Linked DNA regions of Daphnia pulex. The protein of the gene in region 1 interacts with the protein of each later gene in a pairwise test. Links are inferred from orthologs where the notes say so. Each region holds a gene or a part of one and is shown on either strand. Other genes may lie near its edges.

The links.
Region 2: the proteins of cyclin-dependent kinase 14-like (region 1) and cyclin-Y-like protein 1-B interact in a two-hybrid assay, tested with the Drosophila melanogaster proteins (2 studies listed by BioGRID). The link is inferred for Daphnia pulex from reciprocal best matches to the Drosophila melanogaster genes Eip63E and CycY.

What each region holds. Positions count from the first base shown.
Region 1 is NC_060026.1:753,318-757,803, reverse strand, and holds the start of cyclin-dependent kinase 14-like, read right to left. Parts: upstream 2,897-4,486; 5' UTR 2,356-2,896; coding exon 2,277-2,355; intron 2,209-2,276; coding exon 1,928-2,208; intron 1,855-1,927; coding exon 1,576-1,854; intron 1,495-1,575; coding exon 1,403-1,494; intron 1,331-1,402; coding exon 1,156-1,330; intron 1,094-1,155; coding exon 692-1,093; intron 629-691; coding exon 376-628; intron 291-375; coding exon 181-290; 3' UTR 1-180. Other genes in the region: uncharacterized protein LOC124204587, read left to right, coding at 4,359-4,440.
Region 2 is NC_060019.1:10,930,885-10,935,136, forward strand, and holds cyclin-Y-like protein 1-B, read right to left. Parts: upstream 3,043-4,252; 5' UTR 2,839-3,042; intron 2,704-2,838; 5' UTR 2,658-2,703; coding exon 2,420-2,657; intron 2,354-2,419; coding exon 2,322-2,353; intron 2,262-2,321; coding exon 2,073-2,261; intron 2,005-2,072; coding exon 1,871-2,004; intron 1,807-1,870; coding exon 1,654-1,806; intron 1,579-1,653; coding exon 1,422-1,578; intron 1,352-1,421; coding exon 1,226-1,351; 3' UTR 381-1,225; downstream 1-380.

The DNA.
Region 1 (4,486 bases):
ACCGTTTGATAGTGCGGGAGGACTTTTCTTTTGTCGTGTCGGGATTGGCATTTATGGCGGCTATTATGGAACGGATTTCGGGATAGGAAGGAAGGAAATGAAAATAAAAATTTCATTTCTGAAATTTTCTTTTTCTTAATTTTTTTTTTAGTTTTGTGTTTTAGTTATTTAAAAAAATAATTAAAATTTGGCCTTGTTTTTCAACTCCTGGGCCGCTCTGAGAACGACAGGAGGGAATTTCCGCTCTTCCGGGTAGAGACCGACGCCCGGGACCGTGAAAATGGACACGTCTATTAAAATAATAATCAAAACAATTCAAAAGGTTGTTGAAATTATTTCAAAACAGAATAAGAAGGAGCCTAAATTCTTTGTTACCGTCAGACAGGTTAAATAGTTGCGAGGGCAGCTCCTGGAAGAATTTGTGCCGGACGGCCGTTTCGCCCGTCAGTCGGGTGCTGGGCTGCAATTGGAGCAGTTTCGAGGCCAAATTCTCGGCCTGGCTAATGTCGTAGAGACGAGGGAACGCGTGGCCCAGCCTTTGCGTCCGGTAAAAGTTCAAGCGCTGCGGCTTGTAGAGCGGCAGACGGGACACGCCCGGCCACGTCGCTTCCGTCGGCGTCCCCAAAATCTGTGAGACCCACAAAAATTCATCAACAAAGTCAATTAATACAAAATTGAGCAAAAATTTTACCTTGAAGATTCTTTCCAATTGATCGGCAGCGTCTTTGACGCCGGGAAATGCCGGACTGCCCGTCAGGAGCTCGACAAAGATGCAGCCAACGCCCCAGAGGTCCAGCGGCGAAGAGTATTGCGTTGAGCCGAGTAGGACTTCAGGCGGCCGGTACCAGAGGGTCACGACTTCGCTTGAGAAGGTGTGCGACGGAACCGATTGGGCGCGGGCCAGCCCGAAATCGGCCAATTTGAGTTCGCCGACTTCGCTGATGAGCAAATTCTGCGGCTTGAGATCCCGGTGGAGGATCTTGCGCCGGTGGACGTACGAGAGGCCACGCAGGAGCTGAAACAGGAACAAACGGACGTTGTGAGCCTGTAATCCGCCCGGATGCCTCTCCAGATACTGAGCCAAATCCGAATGCTGTCGAGAGAAAGAAAAATTAAAATCGATTCAAACGGAATGTGCCAAATGACGAGACTTACGACGTATTCAAAGACGAACGTTAGCGACGTTTTCGTGTGCACAATGTCGTGCAGGGTGACGACGTTGGCGTGACGCAGGTCACGAAGTAGAGAAGCTTCACGGATGGCCGTGAATGGAGCACCTTCTTCTTCCTGCAAACGAATTTCCTTCAGCGCCACCACTTGCTGAGTCAAACTAAAATTAAAAGAAACAAATTGGTCAGAAATGTCACCAACATTTTCGAATAACTCGACTCAAAGTTTTTACTTGCTGAATCCTCGGTAGACGGTGGCGTAAGAGCCTTCGCCTAGCTGCTCCAGTCGTAGGTAATTCTCGATTTTGCCAAACGGACTGGTTCCCTATTAAGGCGGGAAAGTTTGAAACATATAAAAAGCAGAAAAAGGAACGGATGAAAATAAAAAGATGAATTGAATACACACCCCGAAGGCTGAGTATCTTTTGGAGCGACGAATAGACTCGGAGGGTTTCAAATTGATGGCGGATGCGCTGGGTAGGACGACACTGGCTCCGGCCAGGTGAGGGTCGATGGGCTGGTGTCGGTAAACCTCCGATTTGGGACGCTGTTTCAGGTGGGACGAGGACGATTTCTTACTACGTCTCAGCACCACTTGTTCACCTCCAACCGTAGCAATTCGGCTGCTGGTATCTTGAGCACACGCATCGTCACTTCCCAAACCGGAATCGGCACCACCAGAACCCTGTCGACATTAATACAAAAATAATAACATAAGAAATGGAACAGGGGAAAACAAATTTTAGATTCAATTATACCTTCAATTTTTCGAATTCTGGATCCCGGCTGGCGCTGAGCAAATCTCCGTCACTTAGTCGTAGCCTCTCCCATCGGAGGTCTGGCTCACCTTGCCCACCAGATGCATCACCATTCTCCTGCAGCGAGTCCCTGGTTTCGCTGTCCAGCTTGTCCAGATACTCGTCAGAGAAACCTGCTTTGCCCCTCATGCTGAGTCCGTTGTGGTCCTTGCGGTAGCCCATGTGAGAGAGTCTGGTCTGAGATCTTGTTCGGCTGATGGACCAGTCTTCTTTTGCCAGAGCTGTCGAGAGAGAGAGAGATAAGAAATTAAAAGAGGCAACGGGGGGAAAAGGTGATGCAAACACTTACAGGCCAGCCTGCCCAAGCTGTCACTGAGTCGTTTCCTCAGCCTGGCCACCTTGCTGAGCTTGTTCTTGGTTTCCGACATGTCGAACTGGAATGAGGAAACTCTTGGGTATTAGGCGGATCACTGACCGAGCACCTGCATTTCTCCTATGAGCAACTGATGGTGACGTAGAGATTGGCCAACACTTGAGATATGGTGGTCATTGCTAAGGTTGCACTCCCCTTTTCGTCGCGAATATCCCACACGAGCCGATAGCACAAAGGAGCTCAGACGACAAAAATTGGGCGGTTGCGAGTCGTGATCGAGTGGGCAGTAGTAGGATGTGGGAGGGGGCCGCGATCGAATCTAAACTTGGAAGCCAAATCAAAGCCCGATAAGATAACAGAGCGCGGGCTCCGTACGAACGCGCAAGTCCCTCACAAATCGCCACCGATTTCTCGTTACCTTCTGCTCACTTTCTCACGCAGACTGGTGCAACTTTAACGAGTGGTATCTGTCAAAATCGGACGACAGTGTGTGTATGTGTGTGCTAAGCAGCCATGTTTCTAGTATTGTGTGTGTGTGTATAATGCCGTGAGCCTCTCTCTGATGTGTGTGTACAGCAGAAAGAAAAAAGAGAGGGGGAGTGTTTTAAAGCACAGCGTTGTCACGTTTGGCAAATGATCATCTGTCAAATCGATCCGTTAGAGAAAAGGACAACAACAGAAAACTGGCTTTACAACAGGAGAGATAACCTACTACTCTACATTAGATGTATATTTTCCATTTTTTTTTAATTTTACCTCGTGAAATCTTGACCAAACGAGTTAGTATTTACATAAATTTAATGTCACCCCCGAGGCGAATGCACGAAATGAAATTTTTTTCCCAACTATTCCAGAAATGTTTTGTGAGTCACACAACTGGTTCTTTTCGGGAGTTTCACCTTGAAAAAAAATACACAAAAAATAATGATACTCAAGCCGAGTTTGTGTAGTCGTGCTTTATTATTCATCGATTGTGTTTGCTAATACAATAGAAACGCTATGAATAATAGATCAAAAGGTATCTATAAAATACACGAAACTTTCTATGAGCTGCGCTATATAGTATAGAGATATGCTCATTAACTTTTCCCATGGCCGATAGATTTCAAGTAGATTGTGTCCTGGATAAACACTGGTGGTGCTAGCCAGGCTGGGAATCAAAGGTTTTCTGTCGCCTTTTGTGATGGGCGACTCACCTTTTGCTTGTACACACACACGACTATCGCTCAAAGGGTGTGGCTGGCTCTGGTCGTGTGTGTCAGTCGTGAGTGAGTGATATTTCCCCCCCCCCCTCTTTTTCCATTCCATAATAGACGACACACCTCCCTGGAGCCCATCATCCCGCAAATGCTCTATAACGTATATAAATAAATCAAACTTTATGGTTGTATGGCAGACTACTATTATATAGTCTGATGGTTCGCTAGGCGCGGGTGAGATTGAAACTTTTCTTATTCGACCAAAGTAGAGAGATGAGAAATGCATAAATAATCCACCCGCAGCTTTTTAGTCACGCCGTCGTTATATTCCTTTTGTTAAGTCCCGGTCATATTCATATTTCCTCATTAAAGAAAAGTCTTAACGTGTGACGTTTTTATATTACAATGACTTTGCTGCTGTAGGAAGATTAGAGTCACGCTCCTTTTGGAAAAAACCGTCAAAATTAAATCGAAATTCTGCCGATTCATTTCCGATTGACTTTCAAATGTCGAAAATTTGGGTCGAATTGGAAAATGAGCGGCCATTTTGATGACGTGTCAAGGCTGTAAGGATATGTGTACCTTATGACACTATCGACAGGAAATGATTTTAAAATTTCGCAAGGCTATTAATTGAATTCAAATCAAAAGTTGGCGGGGTTTTCCGTACGTGTGAAATGACCAGCCAAACGCTCGGCTGTCGATCGATATGATCTTTTCATTGTTGTTGTTGCGTATAAATAGGGACAAGTGGACGAACGAGTTCATCAAATCGCATCAGTCCGTCTGAGATCGGTCCTCTGTCGTGTATTAGATCCGCACGGTTAAGTTTTCTGTGTATTTATTTAGCGCCGACGCCATGAAGAATAAGCAGCAGTCCATCATCTTGGCAGCACTGATCCTATCGATCGCCATCTGCTGGCTTCCCTCCGTAGCCAACGGTAACTATCACATTACTTTAATTGTTATTGCGTAAAACCCTTTTTT
Region 2 (4,252 bases), on another chromosome or scaffold:
TTCCGCTCGGATGGAATTTTTGTAGAAAAAAGGAAACATTTTTTTCGGACGGGAATTTTCAAAAGACAATTTATACAGACTCACGCTATGGTTTCGCATTCGTGAGCGCATCACGGCTCACTTGACGCACGCATCAAGTTATAATCGCATAACCAACCCAGCAGCAGCGGTGTAGCAATTAAAAATGCAAGTGAAAGAAACACTCGCCAGGGTTGAAAACCAGTTGGAATTCGACGCCTTGCTTATTTGTTTCCATATTCATATTTCATCACGAAAGCAACAAAAAACCTACAGACAACAACATTTTTTACATAGCATAATTTACCAAGTTCTGCTTCCCTGACTCTTGTATACAACTGTAAAAAGTTAAAAATTTTGAATTTGAATGACATGTCTTTATTATCATTAATTGTCCATCAACGGCATATCATCACATGTGAAATATGTACCGGAAGAATTAAACCGAAATTTTTTTTTTTGAAAAACAAAAGGAAGAAACCGCAAAACTTTTTTATTTTGGAAGGGATATAGGGGGGAGCTGAAAGGGGGGGGGGAATATTAGGCATCCAATCGAGACTGTCAAAAAACGGAAACCGAGGGCTGGGAAATTTTGGGGATAGGGGAGAAAATAAGAATTTTGTGTAGTTCTTTTTCGGTAGTAATATGTAGGACGAGTAGTTTGGGAGTAAAGAAAATTTACATTGGTTAAGTCATTATCTTTTTCTCTCTCTCTTTCTTTTACTCTGTCCTTTTTTCTTTTGTTAGTTTAAATGGCGTGTTTTTTCGGGAGACTTGGTGTGGCGTAACGCCTGGTGTTTCATCCTCGAATCTACGTTGATTGACTAGGAGAGCTAAATCATTTCAAGCATGCAATGGATTTTTTTTAAAAATAATAAAAAGTGAAAAAAGAAAATTAAGGCAAGAAAATGAACAAAAAATCAGTAGGGAGAGAGAAAATAGAAATCGTAATTGATTAAGTAAATTTTTTTTCCTCGTGGAAAATAATCAATGGGATAAAGGATTTTTCACAAGTCATGAGAGTGTCATGAGGCACTTTTGATGGGAAGAAGAAGCCAACGGAGTGGGAAGGAAGAAGTCCAGCCTCATTGTCTTGAAAGGATACGGTAGACGAGGGGGGAAAAAAGTGTTTGGGGGATCTTGAATGTCTGGGAGTGCAAAAAACAAGACGGAGGATGCGTTACACAATGACAAAAGACGTCTTCATTTACGACAGGATGGCTATGCTCCGGCGTGAAATGTTGACATTGTCCATGCTGGCTGAGCGTTTCAAATTTGCTCGCAAAATATCAGATGCCAATTTATCCTCGCAGACACGAGACATGGCCTCGAGCTGTAATTTGAAAAAGGTTATTGCATCAGCTCACTTGGATGGCGAAATGTGAAACAATTTTTGTTTTTACCTTGGTTGCCTTCTCTTTCGTCAAAGGCTCAGCTGGGAAATTCATTTCATTCGCCTCGGCAAGCGTCCGCAAGTCAAAATAATATTTGGCGTAAACGCTCGACGGAATATTGATGTTGAATTGAAGCATTTCCAAAAAATGACGCTCCAACTCGTTCCTGATTGATAAAGGAAAGCATTAGGAGACCCGGTTCATTCAGATAAGCTTTTAATCTCTTGCTATGCCAACTTACATATCTTCCACTGTGATATCTTTGAGAATTTGGCAATAGTCAACATTCCAAACTGCTTGATCATCCCATACTTTGGAAGCTAATAGAATGGCACCCAGCACCACTCTTTTCCAATTTCCAGGGGTAATGTCGATTTCTGCGTAGGTTAATAATCTGAATTGGAAAGACAACAGGTTATTGCACTGCTGATTTCGTAATTCCTCGAATGACGTCCAACCTTTCCAAATAAATCAGGGTGATGATGGCACACTCGGCTGTCAGTTGGGCGGCGTTGAATAACGTTCTGACGAACTTGTAGACTTGGCGGTGGTCGGGATTGTACCGGCAGTAGTCATTAGAAACACCGTCCTTCTATAATAGTGAAATAATAAATTAGCAAAATTAAAGCTGACAACCAAAATAAGATGACGTCTACTGACCGACAAAGGATGAAGTTTCTCGTCAAAAATATCCATTTGCCTATCTGATTGTCGGTTCTTGATGTGATAGTAAATGGCTAGTGTCACACACTTGATAGTGTTCTTTAAATTAGGCTGACAAACAGTACTCTCATCTACATAGATGGTAGAACAAGAGTTGGATTTTTTCAAGGTCCCTCTATCATGGAGCTACAAATAAACAGAATGGAATGAGGAAATGGACACGGCAATAAATCAATATTAATGTACCTGAAGTTGGCTTCTCCTCCTTTCTAGTCCCTCTAGAGATTCCATACAAAATTTTGTATTCAGTATAATTAACATTAACCAAATTAAATATTATTTACCATGAATAGCAGCTCTTGATCTTTCCATAAATATTGTTTCAGCTTTCGGGTGGAGAGACGGGTCTGATTGCCAATCTTCAGGTTCTCTCTCACTGATATGCTGTAGGTTTGTTGTACTTTCGGCCCTGCAGGGTTCATGTGCTTCTAACACTCTTCGTTCAGATACATCATTGACTTTTCGTTGGGGTTGAGGACTGACGTTGTAATAACAGCAGCCCAATGAGTGTTTGTTACCCATGATAACTCTTGCTGATGTGGACAAAAAAATCACAGTTCTTCAAAATCTTTTGACAGAAAAAGACGAAATAAGTCTAGGCATGATCAAAATGAGTTCCGTCTGGTGAAGAAAAGGGCGAAAAAACACAAGTCAGTGCGATATCGCCATCGATATGAGGGAAGAATTTTTCTATCCGACTTACTGGAGACGGGTCGTCTTCGTCTGTTTTCTAGACATGTGTCGTTCAAATATCAATGCCTTCATGAGAACGGAAAAACAGGTCACGCAAAACGACCGGAAATAATATTCAATCAAATGTCAAACTTGAATTCTATATTTAATCACTTTATTACTCCATTAGGAACCGCTGCTTTGGAAAAGCCTGCAAGCTGCAAGCTGCCCCTCAACATTGCCACATTCATAAATGGACAAGCGTGAATTTAACAATTCAGCGTGAGTTCTTCTCGAAATCATTTATACAATAAAATTTAAATGAGTACTAATTTTTTAAAGTACAATCTATGGATAGTTTTAAATAAATGTATTTATTTAGCTATTTTAGAGGCGTTCTCCTATCAGTCGGTGTTCTTAGCCGACTCAAGAGCGCACTTGTGGCCACATCTTTGCATTGCCCAAAAAACAAAAATACTTCAATTGAAAATTACTATCAGATCAAATTATACCATATTTTTTTTACAAACAAGAGTTTTTTTTAAATTATTTATTCAATAATGTAGTTATGACAACGTATTGACATTTGTCAAGTACCAATCGATTCGCTAGTGATCGATTCGAAACGAATCGATTCACTTGTTCTTTTTACTTTTTAGCTCGTTCTGGAAACTCTTGGTTAAGCAAGTGTAATTTTGTTCTAGAAGAGAAGAGATTTCGGAAAAAGATCTACTGACTTCCTTCTCTTTTAAACACTTGCTACCATGGCAGAATCGGACGGTCGTGTTATCGAAGAAATCAACTTGGCCGATGACGACCAAAATGAAGTCGAGTGTTTGGAGGATTTGGTCACGTTGGACGGTACGGACTGCACTCATGAAGATGACATGATGGATTCGTCCCACGGGTCACAAGATGACATCGTCGATATCACACCACCACCTGAAGTGTAAGAACAATTACAGTTTATAAATTTTATGTCAAAGTGAAAAGTTCCCAGAACCTGCTGTTAAATAGCTTTATTCGTGTCATGTGATGACCACCGCCTTTCTAACTAGATTAACACATGTTTTCCCCCACAGGCTAAGAAAGAAAAAGTTCCATGAATCATGCAATAGAAATTTGTCTTAAATTATTGCTAGAATAATGTAGGTTGAAGACTTGTGTCTTTCTTCTACCCACGAAGCTGTTTGGTCTATCATTATTAAGGATGCTGTACTTGACCTGATAAATGCTTTGGGTGGAGGTCCATTTTACCATTTGTGGACGGGCATGATCTATGGATGTAGGTTACTCCCACAAGTAGGAAAGTGTTTGCTCATGAAAATCTGAAAATGGTTCATTGTTGGCATCATAGGCAGTGAAATTTTCTGGCAACACCTCAAATACTTCCTTTCTTTGTTACCTTCAAAATAATCAACAACTTTTTCTACATGGATTATAGT